2 linked regions of the Struthio camelus genome follow. The protein of the gene in region 1 interacts with the protein of each later gene in a pairwise test. Links are inferred from orthologs where the notes say so. Each region holds a gene or a part of one and is shown on either strand. Other genes may lie near its edges.

Region 1 (8,482 bases):
GCGCGGGGATGGCCTCCCCTCCGGCCCCGCTGCCCGCGCTGGCCGGCTCTGCCATGTGCTGTCCGGCAGCCCCGGGCCGGGGTGGCGAGGGGCGCGAGGGAGGCGGCCGGGCAGCCCCAGCGGTACCCAAAGTTGGGAGGGGGGGAAGCAGCGCAGACCCCCCTCCCCAGGCAAGAGCGAAAGGCAGGGATGCAGGCAGCACTGCTCGCGGGACCCCACTGGGCGGGAGGGATGTGGTGGTCCCACGCTTGTCGAGGGCGGGGGGGGGGCATGGGACTGCCCTGTCCTGCCCCTGTCCCAGCCCCTGGGTGTGGGGCAATGCTGGTGCCCCCCCTCCACCCCCCGTTGCAGTGCTGGGGTCAGGGATCCCCGTGGGGCGCAGGCTCTTCTGCAGAAACGGGGGGATGCTCCAGCCCTGGGATGGGGGGGGCAGCAGCCACCGAGAGCTCTGCACAGCTCCCCCCTCGCTCTCTGCTGGGCCCCACTGTGCATGGCCTGCGCCCCACGGCTCGGCGCTGCCCTTGAACCTGCGCCCCACGGCTCGGCTCTGCTCCCGTCCTGCGCCCCACGGCTCGGCTCTGCTCCTGCCCTGCGCCCCACGGCACAGCTCTGCTCCTGCCCTGCGCCCCACGGCACAGCTCTGCTCCTGCCCTGCGCCCCACGGTTCGGCTCTGCTCCTGCCCTTCGCCCCACGGCTCGGCTCTGCTGCCACCCTGCACCCCACGGCACAGCTCTGCTCCTGCCCTGCGCCCCACGGCACGGCTCTGCTCCTGCCCTGTGCCCCACGGTTCGGCTCTGCTCCTGCCCTGCGCCCCACGGCACAGCTCTGCTCCTGCCCTGCGCCCCACGGCTCGGCTCTGCTGCCACCCTGCGCCCCACGGCTCGGCTCTGCTCCTGCCCTGCGCCCCACGGCTCGGCTCTGCTGCCACCCTGCGCCCCACGGTTCGGCTCTGCTCCTGCCCTGCACCCCACGGCACAGCTCTGCTCCTGCCCTGCGCCCCACGGTTCAGCTCTGCTGCTGCCCTGCGCCCCACGGCTCGGCTCTGCTGCCACCCTGCGCCCCACGGTTCGGCTCTGCTCCTGCCCTGCGCCCCACGGCTCGGCTCTGCTGCCACCCTGCGCCCCACGGCTCGGCTCTGCTCCTGCCCTGCGCCCCACGGCTCGGCTCTGCTGCCACCCTGCGCCCCACGGTTTAGCTCTGCTCCTGCCCTGCGCCCCACGGCTCGGCTCTGCTGCCACCCTGCGCCCCACGGTTCGGCTCTGCTCCTGCCCTGCGCCCCACGGCTCGGCTCTGCTGCCACCCTGTGCCCCCGGCACAGCTCCCCCCCCCCCCCCCGGTGGGCCCGCTGCCATCAGCCTGGGGCTGAGCCCCCGTGCTGCGGCTTGCGGCTGTGACTTCCCCTGCGCCGGCACGGCAGGCGCTCGGGTTCCTGTTTCCGTCTCCCCGCTCTGCTCCCGCGCCCGCACCGCTGGCCCGGAGCCCGGCAGCCCCGGCACCGCGGCGGTTATCGGCACGTCTCCCGGCGTCCGTGAGCGGAGCCGTTCCCGTCACCCTGCCGAGGTGGGGAGACGCCGGGCTGCACCCAACCCTTGGACCCCCCAGCGCGAGGTGCCCGCGGCGCCGTTGGGGTCCCCCACCCCGCACCGCCGGCCCGGCACTGGCAGCAGGCCGGTTTCGCTTCCCCCGCGGCGGGTGCCCGAAGGCCTCCCGCCGGGGCAGCCAGGCGGCACGGAGCCAGGAGGCCCCGGGGGCGGCGGGCGCCGCAGGTGCCGGGGCGGGTGCCCTGCTTCGGGGACAGCTCGGGTTTCCGGGGCCGCTCCGACGACGGCGCCAGGTGCTCCGGCCCCACCACCGGCGCGTTGTTTGGCGCCGTTTCCTTTCGGCTCGGCCGCGCCGCCCTCCCCTTTGGCTCCTGACCCGCGGCGACGGCGGGGGGGCTGCAGCACAACCCCTTGGCCCCCCCCGCCCCCCAGCCCGGCGGTAAGTCGCCCTGTGTGGCGGGGCGGCGGGGCAGCCCCCGGCCCGGCCCGGCCCCGGCGCCCGCGCGGGCAACGGAATCCCAAAAGCAGCTGTCCCCGCTGCGCCCAGCTGCCCTGGGATTTCGTTACCCGCGCCGCCGCCCCCGCCTCGGCCCCGCCGCCCCCGCCGCCCCGGCCCCTCTGCCCCCAGCGGCTGCGAGCTGGGAAAAAGGGGCGTCCGGCCCCCCCACCCCACCCCGGCCATGCCGGGGGCTCTCCGACAGGCCTGCCCCCCCCCCAACCTCGTGCCTCCCCGCCGGCTAAAGATAGCAGCTCGTTTCCTGGGGAGAAACCGCCGGAGCGAGCGTGCCGAGCGGCTGCCGGCCGCAGCGTGGATGTGGCCGCCGAGGGCCGGCGCGAGTCACGAGATGCTGCGCCGGCTTCCTGCCGCCGCCGCCGCCACCGCGCGGGGCTCTACCCCGGCCCGCGGTTTCTCCCCCCCAACACCCAGCGCCGGTGGGGCGGGAGGCGGCGTAGGGCAGGGCGAGCGGCACCCCGGTGGGATCCGGTCCCCCGAGAGACAGAGACGGCTTTGGAATGACACGATCACTCCCGCTGAGCGGGCAGCCGGAGAGCCATCGGGAATGTCGTGTCTGTCCAAAGCTTTTTCGGCGCCTCCGTGAGCCTCGCGTCGGGCACGCGGCCCGGCCCCCCCCCCGCCACCCCGGCTTTCGCAGGGCTGCTGCCGCGCCGCAGCAGGGAGCCGCGCGGGGACGGTGCCGCCGTGGGCCGGGACCCCCCAGCCCTGCAGGGCCGGGGACGGAGCCAGCCGACCCCCCCGCAGCGGCTCTGCCGGCGCAGCGGCCCGAGACGAGGTCCGAGCGCTTTCTCAGGCCGCGTCGGGGTGTGCCGCGCCGGACAGAGGCCCCGGGCGGCTCCTGCCCCGCAGACAGTCAGCAGTTGGTCTGGTGTGAGCAGCAAGTCTCAGATCACCTCTTGGCTGTGGGCGGCGCAGAGAGCACCCCCACCTCGGCCCGACCCCCGGAGACCCCGGAGCCGCGAGCGCGGGGGTGGCAGGAGGGAAGGGGCCCCCGCCAGCACGCGCCACGTAAACGCGGGCTGTGAAACGCCGCCGCGGAGGAACCGGGCTGTGCGGCGGGCAGCGAGACCGCCAAGGCGCGGCCTCCCATCCTTTCCGTCCACCTCCTTCCCCTCGGGGCTGATGAGCCGGCGGGGACGGCCCTTCCCCGAGCCCGGCGGGCAGCGTCACCCAGGCGGGACGGGCCGCTGCGTGGCCGAAGCCCCCGTCCTGCCCGCGGCCAGGCCGAGCGGCTCCCCTCGGAGGAGCCCCGGCCCCCGAGGCCGGTCCGCCGGCCGCTCAATAAAGCCCGTTTCCTGCCCGGCCCTCGCAGCCGCTCGTGTTTTTTTCCACGGCGCGGTTCAGCCCTCTTTCGGTTCCGCTCCCCGCCGCCCCCAGCGGGCTCGGCTCTGAGAGGCCGGGAGGGGAAGGAGCAGCCGCTGGGGCAGCGTTTCGGGGCAGGTTGAACTGCTGCCTGGGGAAGGTGCGTCCCTCCTGCTCCCAAACGCCCTGGCCAGGAGGGCCGGGCCTGGCGGGCGAGCGGCCGCCGGGGGCCGTGCAGGCCCCACCGGCTGCGCCACCGCTCTCCCGGGGGCTCGGTCACTGCGACCCGCCACACCCAGCATGGCCTCGCCGTGCTGCCCGCCACGCCCAGCATGGCGCCCCCCCCCCCCCCCGCCGCCACCGTTACCCCCAAGATGGCCGCCCGGCCCCGTCCAACCCACCCGCGCCCAAGATGGCCGCGCAGGCACGCTGCGCGCCGCGCCCAACATGGCGGCCGCCTTCCCGCCAGGCCCCGCCCGAGAAGGGGGGTGTGACGTCACGCCCCGGGGTCGACGGAAGCGGCCGGCGAGGGGAGCGCATGGAGGCGGGCGAGGGGAGGCCGGCGGTGGCGGCGACGCTGCGGGCCCTGAACGGCGCGCTGGGGCGGCCGGCCGCGCTCTGGCGGAAGGAGAGCGGCGCCCACCGCCTGCGGCACCGCGACTTCCTGGCGCCGCAGGCCGCGCTGCGGGCCGCGTTCGGCGGGGGGCAGGTAGGCCGCGGGGGCGGGGCCGGCCCGGGCGGCGGGGGCGGGGCCAGGCAGCGAGGGCGGGGCCGGCGCGCCGCAGACGAGGCCTACCTGGGCGGGGGTGGGGCCTGCTAGGCGGCAGGGGCGGGGCCAGGCATCGGGGGCGGGGCCGGCGCGCCGGAGACGAAGCCTGCCTGGGCGGGGGGCGGGGCCTGCCTGGGCGGGGGCGGGGCCAGAGAGGCAGGGGGAGGGGCCTTACCCAGCGGTTTCTCTCTGCCTTCATCCCCCCGTGTCTCTGGCAGGTGCCTGCTGACGTCATGGCGCGCGTGACGTCACTGTCGGGCCCGGAAGTGCTGCCGCTGAGTGGGTGCCAGGAGACAGTGGAGGGGCTGGCGGTGCAGGTGCGGCGGCCGGAGGCCTTCCGGCGGCTGCTGGGCCCCGGCCCTGCGCCGGCCCCACCGCCGGCCTCCCCGGCGCGCGTGGTGCTGCACTGCCCGGGCCTGCGCGGCCCCGCCGCCCTGCCGCCCCGCCGCCTCCGCCCCGTGCTGCTCGCCGACCACCTGGCCGAGGTGCTGCGCGCCCAGGGGTGAGTGCCGCCACCCCCCCCGCCGGCCCCACCGCCGCCGCCCCGCGGCCTCACCGCCACCTCCCTCCCTCTCCGTCGCAGGGCCAGCGTGCGCCTGGTGCCCGCCCTGGGCGACGAGCCGAGCCGGGAGGTGCTGCGGCAGCTCCGCGTCGCTTGGCCCTGCGGCCGCCCCGACCCCGGCGGCCCCGAGGCCATCGCCGCCCTGAAGCGGGCCCTGGCGCGGTCGCCCTACGTCGCGGCCGGCGAGCGGGGGGCCGGCGGCGCCGCTGCTGCCCTGCCCGAGGACGTCGTGGCTGAAGTGGACCTGCGGAGCTTCGTGGAGCAGCAGCACCTGGAGGGCTACGACCCCAACCTGGACGTCCTCCGGGGTGAGCGCCGTGGGCCGCTAGTGTGGCAGCACGGGGCGTGAAGGGCGGCACGGGAGTCCGTTTCTTTTTTTTAATTACCTTAACAAGAATAAGGAGCGTTTAGATGTAGACTGCCTTTCCTCGTTGTTCCCCTTCCACCTGCCGGGCTGGGGCAGGACGGAGCAGGGGTGCCGCGCGCCCTCGCTTCCCTCCCTGACTGTCCTTCCTCCTTTCAGTGACGGAGGAGAAGCTGCGGTGCCTGGCGGAGCTGCAGCAGGCCGTCCTGCAGTGCGCGGTGAGTAACCCCGCCGCCGCGCTGCCTGGCTCTCGCTTCCCGCCGGCGTTCCCTTCTGTCCCGCGCCGGCGTCCGAGCTCGCTGCTGTGCTCTGCTGCAGGCCGGCGGCCAGGCAGGCTGCTGCCACGTGGTGCACGTGCTGAGCTGCGAGGAGGAATTCCAGCAGCAGCAGATGGATCTGCTCTGGAGGATTTTGGATCCGGGAGCCCACACAGCTCTGCAGGTGAGGAACTTTCTGCCTTCTTCATCGTGGCCCCCAGTGTCCTCGGGCTGAGCCAGCTCTCCTGCCGTCCCTGCAGTGAATCCGAGGTCCAGCCTCGCCTCCTCGGGAGCCTTCCCTTCAGCCCTGCTGGCCCCTCCGCAGTCTTGCCCAGGCTGCGGAGCCCTTGGGACCTTAGTGCTGAAGAAGGAAGGGCAGGAGGGGATTGCAGGGGTGCAGGCAGAACCGGGCTGTTGACTGAACGCACCAGTGCACTTCAGCAGCTCCTGACTCTGTGTTCCCCTTTTCCTGTTTCCATAGCTGTGAGCAGAGGTTTCCCTGGCTGCTCTCCAGGTTCAATTCTTCTGGCACTGCATTTTAGTGCTGATACAGCTTCTAAGTCCTTGAGCCTAAGCCTGCTGTCTCATTTCTTTTTCAGAAACACCTTGTCTGTGGACCAGTGAAGATAGCAAAGCCCTCATCCCCCATTGGGGCAGACCAGTACTTCCAGTAAGTTGGTATTTAGCAAGGAGCTGGCTGTGTCACCCACCGACCAGGCTGCCTGGGCTCTGCTTTGGCCCTGCGGACACCCAGGAAGCTCTCTGAACAGATGAGCGTGCCGGAGGTTTAAGGAAGTTTCTGTGTGGTCCCAGCAGCCTTCCTCCGTTCCGCTTTTCTGCGGCTTCGTGGCTGTCTCTAGAGGCCTGGAGATCCACGGCAGGGGCAGGAGAGGGAAGACAACTGTTTTGCCCTCCTCGCTCTTAGTAGGCTCCTCTAGTTGGGCTGCCTCTGGCCCTGTTGGCACTGACTGCCGGGGGCTGTAGCTCTCCCCCTCCCCAGCAGCGCTGCTGGGAGGAAAGGCCGGGGCAGGAGCTAGGCCCCGTGCGGTGTGACCAGCCCCAGCAGCCCGAAGGCTGGGGGAGCCCTCGGGCCCTCTCTGGAGCAGGCTCGCCCTGGGGAGGCGGTGGTGGCTCTAACTGTCTGTGTTCCTCCCAGGCTCCGAAAGCGCCAGATGTACGAAGCCTCTGTGATGAAGTATGGGGAACTCGCACAAGGTGAGGGTTTGCTCCACACGTAGATGCTGCTTCCGCACTGCTCCCATAAGTCTCCCCCACCCACCCACCCACCCACCTCAGGGTCTCGTGGCTGCAGCCAGGAGGTCTCTCCCCTGGGAAGGAGCGGGGTTCTGACCTTGCTTGGGAGGAAGGTGTCTGAACCGTTGCACAGAAGGTCCCCTTCTCTCTGCTGCGAGAAGGGGCTAGGGAAGCGTGTTGGTTCCCAGCCCGCACTGGGGGGTTTCTGCCTGAGGGTGGCAGGTACGCGGGGCTGGAGCAAGCCGTGCTGTGGCCCCATTTGTGTTTTTTTGCAGACGAGGCCTGGACTGAGGTTATCGATGTCCTGACAGCGGCTGCCATCAGGTTTGAGATGCTGAGCACTGCCCACCGTAGTCAGGTAGGACAGGCCAGAGCTGCAACGGTCTGTGCAGAGCCGGGGGGCCTGTGAGCAGTGGGACATACCGCTCTTTGGGAGCTACAGCTCATGGCACAGGCTGAGGTCGGGCAGAAGCAGAGGGACAAGTAGCGACGGGGAGAGGGGAGGCGCTCTGTGGGCTCTGGCTGCCCTGGATTTGGGGCAGAGGGCTTTCCCATGGGCTGAAGCAAGCAGGTGCAGGCTGGTGTTCCTGCACCAGCAGCCAGCCCCGGTAGCCTGCACCCATCTGCCCAGGACGGGCCCAGGCTCAGCACACTGGTGGTCACGCTCTGCCTGCTGGGGAAGGCTCCGCTCCCCCAGCGAGAGGTGCAGGGACGTGCCAGGACCGGCTGTGTGCCGAGCAGCCTGGACCGCAGCCTCTCTCTTCCCTCAGATCGTTCTGGACCTGGAGGACAGCAGCATCTCCACAAAGGGAACCAAGAGCGGCGCCTTCGTGATGTACAACTGTGCCCGGCTGGCCACGCTCTTCGACACCTACCAGCGGGCTGTGGAGCGGGGTGAGCCCTAGCCCACCGGGCCCTCTCCCTAAGCAGCGACTCTGGGGCTGTTCCTCACGGCTGCGTGGGGATGGGGTTGTTCCTGGAGCCCCACAACCGCCTCAGCAGCGACTCTGCCAGAGGCAGGAGGCTGATGGCCTGACGGGGCTCCAGTGCAGCAGTCCCCTGGGCTGTCCCTGCAGCAGGGAGACCCCAGGGCTCCCAGCACCGGGGCTGCTATGCGCACAGCAGCCATCTCTCGCCTCCTTCCCAGGCACATACCCACCCTTGCCGCCAGCATCAGAACTGAACTTCTCCTGCCTCCGGGAAGAGGTGAGTGCTGAGGGACGGAGGCTGCAGGGAGCTGTGTGCCCTCAGCTCCGGAGGATCGGAGGATCGATGCTTCTGGCCCAGGGGGATCCGGCCCTCTCGGACACACCGAACCCTTTCACAGGGCGAATGGCTCCTGCTCTTCAACTATCTCCTGCCCTTCCCCGAAGTCTTGCAGCAGGCAGCACAGCTGCCCTCACCCAGCAAGGGGATCCGGATCACAGCCAGCGCAGAGACGGTAAGTACCACGTGCCGGAGCACCCATGGGTGCTGCTCTCACAGCCCCAGCCTGGGGCAAGGCTGCACCCTGAAGGGTGCTGCCCGCCGGTATGCAACACCGGGACAGTGCTGAGGGGCTTCCCTGGGACGAGACTGTGACACTGCGAGTGCTGTTTGGTGTGGGGGAGACGACCCAAGAGCAGACCCTGCAGTGCCGACACTAGCTCTCCGTGTTGCAGGTGTGCAAATTCCTGATCCAGCTCAGCATGGATTTCAGCTCCTACTACAACCGTGTCCACATCCTGGGGGTGAGTCAAATAGCCCAGGTGACTTGCTGAAGGGGGGGCAGCGCTGCAGCCCTCCCAGGGGGCTACACTAGCCCAGGCTGCGGAGGCCTTCCCGTGGGGCTGGGCTGCCACGAGCAGGCTTCTGCGTGCCAGCAGCAAGATAAGAGGCTGGGGCAGGGCTCTGAGGCCACGTCAGCAGGGTGAAG
Region 2 (9,647 bases), on another chromosome or scaffold:
TACTGTTCCAGCATCATAGAGAGGCCTTCTTACCATTCATCTTCATTCTAAGTTTTTGATAGAGCTGAATTTTCCAAGTCTTCTCATCACTATCCTTCTTTGCAAATTATAAACATTATTCCATTTTAATACAGAACAAATATAATAGTATTCTTATATATACATCTTGACAATAAGTCCTTGAATATGGACCATAACATGAAACTACAAAGCTGGTGCACACAGAGCACTGATTTAGCTGAAAGCCAGGAAGTCTCTGTTAAGAAAGGCTACCCATTTTAATGAAAGTTCTAACAAGAACTTACTTATTTTAAGTGAACGCAGGCATATGACAGGCTGTCACGTGATTCTCTGATTATCTCATTAATACAACTTAATAGTTATATTCTGGTTTACAAACTGCCTCCAATAATTGCTGCGTTTAACTGAAGCCAGAATGGAATTGCCTGAATACATCTTACTGGTATAAGAAAGTAGCCTTGTTGGATGACAATTCTTTTCAGACAATGAATACATTCAGAGTAAAATTAAGACACCAGTGAGATCACGTAAGGTTTTGGTAATTATTTTTATGTTGGTTTTATAGCTTTTCTGCCTTCAGTAGGAAATTCCTGCACAGCAAAAGGAATGAAGAATTCCAGAAGAGAGGTGACCTCCTTCAGTTCCAGACTGTATTCCTCTGCTATTTTCTCCGCAGTCCATATCTGAGGATGAAGTTTGTGATTATTGAGAAGTGTCAGAGCCTCCACAATGGAAATTTTGCCTTTGGGAACTTTCTTAACGTCTAGAGCCTCCAAATGACCTAGTTTTGTAAGTCTCTTTTCCTCCTGTTTGCATGGAAGATGTTCACCACCTTGATCTTTTACCTAATTGTGGGAAGGAAAACAAAAGAACTTAACAGCAGTTCTGTTTACTATGCATACTGTAAACAGCCAAGTTGTTTTCCTGAATATGTCTTTTCAGCATTTTCACAGCATTAAAGAAAGGATGCTTTGTCTGCTGCACTTCTTGATACCACTACAATTATAGCCAGTTGTTGCACAGTCGTTCTAGGTATGGGGCCAAATCTCCACCTAGATTCAGGAAACCCAAACATCCATTAAACAGTAGGTATTGTACAGCCCTATATATGTGACACTACGGATTGTGGTAGTCAAACACAAATACAGGTAATATAATACTGGGTACTGATTCGTGGTGGGGGCATCATACTACAAATTGGTATCCTCCTTCTGGTATCACTGTAGCCCATTCTCTCTCTCCTTCCCTTTTTTCATATTTACATCTTATTTTTGTAACTAGCAGACAGCCCCTCTTTTGCTCTGCCTGCAGCACAAGCTTTGTTGGACAAAAAAAAAAAAAAGCTATTTTGCAGCTCCATAGGCAATTTAATTCCCATGATTACTGCAGTGCTCACATACCCAAAGTCCCAAGTCCTTTCACATTTCATTTTCTAAGTCATTTTCAAACCAGCTCTGCCTTCCTCATATTCCTTTTTACTAGGACTTTACCAGTGAATGACACTGCAGAAAAGATACAGTGAAGAACTTCAAGCTCAAGAAACACTACTTTTAAAATTATCATAGCCTATGGCCACTGATTAGCCCACAGACACTTTGTATTAACGCATAAGCTAAAAAGATTCTAAAGCATCCGTGCTGTTTCTAAATTACAAAGAACATTTGCTAATGTGTTATCAAATTTCCCTTCCCTAAGCCATCCTAAAATTACACTGAGATAACAACAAATTCTTAACGTCTTAATAAAATAAGCCAGCTCTGGATATCTGCTACTTCAGAACTGAGAGTATGTTTTTCCCCTTAATATAGACAGACATGTGGAGGTGTATGCATACATATGTATACATACACACACAAGGCATACAGATTAATAGCAGGAAAGGAAGAAATAAGCTGCTGGATGAAGTTTTGCCAGTAAGCCTCACTGCTAACGCATTTTTCATACTTTTCCTAACAATTTTAAGTAGATACATTACAAGAGCAAGTCTTGCAAGCACACCAGCCACCTCAGACTAGGCTCTCAGACTTAGTCAAGTACTAAGACACCTATTCTGCTTTTGGCTTTTCCTCAAATCTCTCTGAACAGCCTGACAAAGGGAAGCGTTTGAAGATAGTGAAATTAAGCCAAAGATATTGAAATCTTTAGCGCTTCAAGGTTAGAGTCTTAATCTCTTTACGAAAATAATGGATAGAGATTACTTGGATACTTCAGAGAGAAACTGCAGAAATCCATTTCTAGTTTAAGATGTTTTTAAATCTTGAATGGAAGGCACCATAAAAGCAGTAAATCAGAGAGACTTATGAATTTTATTGCTGGATGTTCAAATAACTTTTATTACCACATGAAGGAGCGGGAATAAAATGATCCAGTAACGCAAGAGGTAAAAAAGCACAAGATGTAGCACAATGAGGTGGAAGAGAGGAGACTGAACCCGAGCCTAGACATTACCGGAAGGGCTATGCCTTGCCTTCCAAGTCAAAGACTGAAGCCATTAATGATGAGGAAACTGATCAAAAAACAATCCCAAAGGTTATACAGAAAAACCTAACTAAAGCACGACCTCAGTCACATAAGGAAAAGGCTCTGCGTAGTTTGACATGAACATTTCACTGGAGTATTTTTTTTTTTTAAACTACTGATACTATTGTTCTCATCCTCTACCATACCCATGCTTTTATATTAATCTCAGTCTCCTTCCTTCTAGCAAGTCTGCAAAATCTTGTGCATTTTTCCAAAAGACTGGCCAATTATCCTTGTGGCTTTGAGGAAGCAGGAGTACTAACTTAGGTGAAAAAAACCCAAAAATAATCACTGTGAGGTTAAAGACTACTAAGAATTTAAAAGTTACATTACCATAATCTGTCACATGTTCAAGACCACTCAGCATCAAACACAGTCAGTGCTACTGATATATAGAAGGGCAATGAAAACATCAGTTTTACCTATAAAAAATGGTAGTTTTTAGGCACTAAGAGAGTATTTTTCTTGAAAAATCTGCCCACTAGGTAGGATTTGTGTTGAGACTAAAAACCACAAAGCTGATGCTCGTATGCTTCCTACAGCGAGACATACTCACCTGCACAGGTGGACCTCTAGATTCAACATAAACATCTTTTAGCAAAGTGAGGAGCCTATCATCCTTTCTGTAAATTTCTTCCTGTATTTCTGGATGGTCTAAAGGCAGAGGGGAGAAGGAAAAAAAAAAAAGAGAGAGAGAGAGAGAAGAAAGATCCGAGTCATAAAATTGTTTCATTTTCATTACTTCTGTCAGCCTTATCACTTCCCCAGAGCCATCACAATACACAGAGCCTCAATATACACAGTGTTTCTCAGGCAGATTTCAGTTCTGCGTTAGTTCTAACATTAACAGTACTGTTTTACACCGAGAAACAGGGGTGCTGCCATAACTCCTGGCGCTAAACAGCACGATAAAACCCCCCTCGTTTGTAACCCGTACGACGGCCTCACTTCACTCCAGACACGCGCGCTACTCCCCAGCGGCCCGCGAAGCGGACCAGCGATTCACGACATCCGCGAAACGAGCCTGAGCCGGCCCAGGCGAGCGGGGCGAAGGGCAACGCCAGCCGTTTGCCGCCCAACCGCCGCTCAACCGCCCCCCGCGCGGCGCGGCGCAGCCCCGCACCGCTGGGGCCGCCCCTAGCAACCGCTGCTAGCAACCGCCCCGCCCAACCGCCGCCGCCACAGCGGCTCCCGGCGTGCCCCGCGCGCGGCCGCTCCGTTTTCAATGTCACCCGCCGCCGGGCCCGGCTCTTCCCGCCGCCGGCCAGCCGCGGGCTGCCCGCTCGCCATCGCCGTGCTTCCTAGCGCCTTATCAACGCAACCCTCCCTCCGCGCCGCCCGCCGTCCCCTCGAGGCCGCAGCGCGGCTCCGCTCCGCCGGACCGGTGCTCGCTGCCCGCCGCGGGCAGTCCTGCCTGCCGGGACTCACCAGCCAGCGCGTCCAGCCGCGCGGTGGGGTGCCGCGGCGCGGGCGTGGGCTTCTCCTTGCTGATCTCGCGGCGGGCGCGGCTTTCCACGTTGAAGGTGCGGAACACGCGACTCACCCGCCCGCCCATCACCGCCGCAGCCACCCGCACCGCACCGCACCGCGCCTGCGCAACTCGGCGGCAGCGGCCAGGGGCGGGGTGAAGCGGGGTGCGCCGGTCGCGCATGCGCACCGGGTTGGGCGCCGCGCCGCCGGACGGGAGGGGGAGGCCGGGGCCGCTCTGCCGTTCCCGCCTTGGGGAGGCGCGGCAGGAGCGTGGCTGTGCCTCGGTTTCCCCATGTAAGAGTCCAGTGGTGCGTGGCGAGGTACTGAGGCAAAGTGTGAATCACAAGCAGGGTGAATCGCTTTTTATTTCACGGTGTGACTCGACCGTTTTTCTCCTCTGCCGCGCGCGTTATCGCTGTGGCGTCGGCGCTCGCAGGTGCGTGGGCCTCGGTGGTCAAGATGGCTGACGCGCCGGCGTGGCGCAGGTAGCTCTGCCCTGCTCAGGGCGGGCGGGCGGCGCGCCGGCGGCGCTTTTCACCCTACCGGCGTACTTAAGTGCACAAATTCGTCCTTAAAACTGGCCGGTAGCCCACACAGAGAACATGCTTTCCCTATGGTGCTGTGTGCGTACGTTGTTGTGCTTTTAAAATCTCCGTTACTCTTTTGAAAGAGTGATGTTCCCTCATTGCTGCAAGAACGGAGATGCGTTACTGTTTCTTTTGAGGAGAAAATCGCACTTTTCTTTCAGGAACTCGTACGTGTGCATAAAAAGTGCAATTCTAATGCTCTCATGCAACAGCGACATATATCTTAAGGTATCTTTCGTCTTTTGGGAAGAACATCTTCCTGTTGTAGGCATTCATGGGCATGACTGGTCTGGTGTAACTCAGTGGGGTTTATTATATAACTAATATTACTGATGTACATAGGATTTTTTTTTTTTAATACATTGATCACCAAAACTTAAAGCAAATATTCAGTATAAGGAGAACCAATGCTGCATGATTTCTTTTGGGGTAAAGTTGGCAACATCCTCAAGGTGGCAGGCTAGTCTAGGGTTTCCGTGCTTGGTGTTGTAATCGTCGATGCAGCTGTGTCAGCATTTTGGTAAAAGACATATGAATTGCTGCTTTATAGATGATTTTTAGATATGTTACTTTATAAGTGTATTCACTTGATTTATATGCAGGGTTATTACCTGTGCACATCCTAAACCTCAAGAGAATTGTTAGGAGAAGGTAGTGTAATCCAGACAATGAAAATACGGATCAGGCAAATACATGTCATCTGCACCAACAAGCTGTAGTTTATGATGTAAAAGCTTATAAACGGACTGAGTGGCCCTGATAGCACGAATAAGAGGGCCATTCAATGTATAAAATATTATCTGCACCTTTTTTCCTTTTTCACATTTTAGCCTCCAACATACAGTGTCATCATGTGACACCACATATACTGCCGAATGATGAATCCTCATGTAGAAAGGGTATTATCTCAACTTTCTTTTCTGACTGTTATCAACTAGTATGCCAATTTAAAATATCTTACATGTTTTCTCTTTGGAGTTTTTACTTGAATAATGATAATGTGGAAATATTTAAGGATGTTTTTCATCTTACTATTACTCTGTCATTAGTGTGTGTAGCATTTCCTTACTAGCACATAGTTGCTTTATTCAGTGACAGAAAATTAATTTTCTACGCAGATATAGTCTAGAACGTATACCCTACACGGCAATTTGGAGAACAAATCCTTTGTATCATTCAGAGTTTGTGAGCTATGATATGCTGTTAAGCTATGGTCTTGATTAGGGTGTAACCTTTCTTTTTTAGCTTTCTGTGATCCAAGGCGTAGCTTTGATGCAGCCCAGCTGAATCACCTCAACCTTGACTTCTGAGAAAATTGCTAAACTGTGAAAAACAGCTGTGAGAAAGTACTTAGTCCTGAGTAACATAAGAAAGGTAAAATTGCAGACAAAGGTAAATTTTTGAGATAGAGCCAGCAGCTTCAGGATTCAAGAGAGGAAGAATATAACTATGAAAAGTTATAAAGTTCCGAGAGAGCAAAAGGGAATGAGAAACAGCAACACTACGGATTAGTGTTACATGAAGCAGTAAAGGCTGACCCCTCTCTGTCTGACCGATGACTGCCTGGCAAACACAGACTGAGAGGGTAGCTTACCAAAGGAGGTAAGCGTATTACTGACTTTTTAATCCTAGCTATTGTTTGTCTTAGCCTATACACAATTGCTTTGTACTTTTGAGTTGTTTATATCCTGTTTGCAGACTTTCTTCATGCATGGTAATAGTTGCCTGAATCAAGTAACTAAGAGTCAGTGCTATGAAGGCTAGTTAAAAGGTCCAATGTCTGTGTTCCTTTCTAGGAGGAAGACACCTATTTTCTGTCCTGGCATCCATCTAGTTTTGTTATCACTGTGTGCATGCAAAATCTGGATGCCTGTTAGTAGTGTAAGTAGCAGCGTTACTATTAGTAATAATGGTGATGATGCAGTAGCTATTAAGGCCACAGTGTGCTGGAATACTGCATAATGAATGACAGCTTTTGCTTAAAGGGAATTCAGAAGACAAAGCAGGTGGATGAAGAAAACAAATAGATCCACAAAGGCAATGAGGGCAAGGCAGCATAAGGTTGATCTGTACTTCCTCTGCGCCTTCTTCGAGAGTTCTGAAGGGGCAATTTTTTCACTTCCACGTTTTGAAGACTCTCATTGTCTATAGGGGAAGGATAGAAGCATCTCTTTAAATTCTACTCTCTGTTTATAAACTCACCCTATAACCAACCTGATCCTATTTTAGGCATTGTATGTGTACTGATAATAGGAATGTGGAACCCGCTATGAGATTTTATATCGCAAATCAGGCTGATGGCGTGTCTAATTAAATATCAGTAGTCAATTAGTGGCTGATTTTTGCCTATGTTCTGGAGCATGGGGTTTGATATTTTACTGGTGGGTAGCCTATCCGGTGTTGTGAAGGTAAATGTAATGGTAAAATTCACATGGATGCTTTTTCTTGGTGGCTGTAGACCTTTGATGTGTACTTTAGTATTTCTCTAAGACATGTTCTTACTCTTCTGTCTGTGCATGCAAGCATTGCTACAAATTTGGAAATAAAGATGCTGCTCCTTCAAAAGCTAAGAATTGTTGGCTTTCAGGATCAAACCCAGCACAGTGATTCTGTCTCTGTAAAGCCAGAATGTGACTAACACTGCTGTAATATTTACTGACAGCAAAATAAATTCACCAGAAGACAGACAGTTAAAAATAGTGATGTCATTCTCTGCCTGTCTCTTCCTATCACTGAGGATGGCACAAAGCTGTCCTTATTATGTATAAGGAAGGATCAGAAGTGCAAGATTTTTATTCTGGAGTTATAATATTTCCTCTTTCATTTAGACTGTAGCAGCAGCAGAATTGGGATTTTAAAAAATTGTTTGATCATTCAGCATTTTATCAATATAACCATATTGATGATATTAAGTAGCAGTAACCAAAAGCCTGGGATCCTTTTCTATCACGTGTCTATAAGTGTATGTTCTTAAAAAAACTGACCATATAGTTCCTCAAAGCATAAAAACTGTATGTATGTATGAATTTTTCCAGGGAACTTAAAAATAACAAAACACAGGAAAGGAACAACACAGAATATTCAACTCAATTCATTTATACCAGCAACCTGTTTTCAACAGCAGACAGTGTCAAACATTTCAGAGATAAATACTGGAACTGGCATCATATATATGTGCCATAGGCTGCCTCCTTTCCCACATCCGAGGGAGACATTTCTTAAAACTGTTCTGCACTTGGAGAATAAAAATAAATTTGCAAACATTCTTGAAGCCTTTCTGTCAGTTTTTCATGCCAGTTCTGATATTAATTTGTGGGGTTTTGTTTGTTTTTTCATTCTTGACAGGTTCTATAGCTGAATGAAAAATAGGTCCAAAATTAATTTTATTAGTTAATTAACATCAAAAAAGGCTGACTGATCTGTTGCAGATTCTCTTTGTGTAAGGGACAAAGGGGATGTCTGACCTTTAACTTGATTTATTGTGAGATGCTACCAAGGTTTCTCTGCCTTCTTTACTACTCAGAAAAGCAGGAATCAGAATATTAGTCTAGAGGAAAAGTAATCTTGGTGAAATAAGAATCTCTTTTAGTAATGGATGCTCAATTTGACAGTTTTTGAGAGGAGGCAGATGATGTTCACTACGTCATTTTATAGTCTTCAGAAGTTCCAGTGTTTAAGGCAGAGGAAAATTTGAATCCCTTATACTGTAGTGACATAGTTTAATATTTGATTCTCTCCATGCTTTCTACCACTGATACTGGTTTCTCATATTTATTTTCCTAATTATTCATAAATTTTAACAATGTATGGGGATACTGTCTAGCAAATTCATGTATAATTAGGATTAAGGGAACTCAGCCCTCTTTCCTGACTACTGGTTTTCCATTAAATACAATGAGAGCATTGATCCATTTGTTCCTTATCTCATCAGCAGTAAGAAGAGCCAGAGAACGTAGCATTAGCAATAATTATGACCTGAGCAACAATGACTGTCCCATGACTTTCTGAAGATGAGCTCAAGAAAGATGGATGTTGAGATCACTATTACCTTTAAGTGATTTCTGGTTGTTCTATTTGTTACTGAGCTTCACCTAATCCATCTTTTAGTGGCTCCGGAACTATCTAAAAATATACGAAGACTTTTGCCTGATTCCAGGCTATGACCAGAGTATTACTAAACACTTGACTCTCATCTTTTCAAGACTAGGTGGCTGTACCTAGGAATTAAAGAATTTCTGTCGGTCCTTTGCTGGATTGAAGCTTATGAGTAGAGTGTAGCAAGCCCACATTTACAGTAATGTGTCTGAACGCATTACTACTTCCTTATAACATTCATTTCAAGGTGGTACATTTACATTCTTCTGATTGACTGTGGCCTGGTATAACTGACATCATCTTTCATAATTTTCCGAGCTAATTTTTATAATCTCAATTAGCAGGTTATTTGACTTGGAAATGCACAGTAGGAGCCGGCATATTTGATAATGAGACAGCCTGGTACTGGCATTAATTACCTAAAGCAATTAGAGATGTGCATTTTGCTATGCTATTCAGTGAGAGCTAACATGGTCTTCATTCTAAGTCACAGGGTTCACTTCCATGTACTCTGTTCTTAGTCGCAGTACTGCTTTAGAGAAGTGCTGCCCTTATTCTTTTAAGCCTTGCATCGTGTCATCACTCATGCTGGAGCAAGACTGCAGGATCTCTTCAGGGTGAACAACATCAGATAGTTGATCTGATTTAATAAAAACAAAAGTCCTGTAACTTTTTATAAGGCATATCAGTTACTGATGGTTTGAATGCTCCCAGAAAAACTACAAGCAAAACAGGAGGGGAAACAAGGGATTGAAGAGAAGAGGCGTACAAATACCTGAAACTGCTATTGCTGCCAAGTTTTGCTTCTTTTTGTGAAATGGAGAGGGTGTACTTTGCACTCAGATCATTTAGTTTCAGCAGTCACACAAAGAATTGTACCAGCCCAAGTGAGGAGGAAGTGAACCAGAGTTTGGGGGGGGGGGGGGGAACCACATAGGATGGGAGGTGGGCTGG

Evidence for each region.
Region 2: the proteins of NDUFAF3 (region 1) and NDUFAF4 interact in binary tests that used the Homo sapiens proteins (3 or more experiments, as listed by UniProt). The two-hybrid records come from large-scale screens. The link is inferred for Struthio camelus from reciprocal best matches to the Homo sapiens genes NDUFAF3 and NDUFAF4.

What each region holds. Positions count from the first base shown.
Region 1 is NC_090955.1:10,147,682-10,156,163, forward strand, and holds the start of NDUFAF3 (NADH dehydrogenase [ubiquinone] 1 alpha subcomplex assembly factor 3), read right to left. Parts: upstream 3,902-8,482; coding exon 3,729-3,901; intron 1-3,728. Other genes in the region: DALRD3 (DALR anticodon-binding domain-containing protein 3), read left to right, coding at 3,900-4,070, 4,349-4,632, 4,714-5,000, 5,216-5,274, 5,375-5,497, 5,913-5,983, 6,470-6,528, 6,843-6,925 and 4 more. UniProt on the Homo sapiens protein: Essential factor for the assembly of mitochondrial NADH:ubiquinone oxidoreductase complex (complex I).
Region 2 is NC_090944.1:53,378,831-53,388,477, forward strand, and holds the start of NDUFAF4 (NADH dehydrogenase [ubiquinone] 1 alpha subcomplex assembly factor 4), read right to left. Parts: upstream 4,197-9,647; 5' UTR 4,193-4,196; coding exon 3,970-4,192; intron 3,196-3,969; coding exon 3,098-3,195; intron 867-3,097; coding exon 570-866; 3' UTR 1-569. UniProt on the Homo sapiens protein: Involved in the assembly of mitochondrial NADH:ubiquinone oxidoreductase complex (complex I). May be involved in cell proliferation and survival of hormone-dependent tumor cells. May be a regulator of breast tumor cell invasion.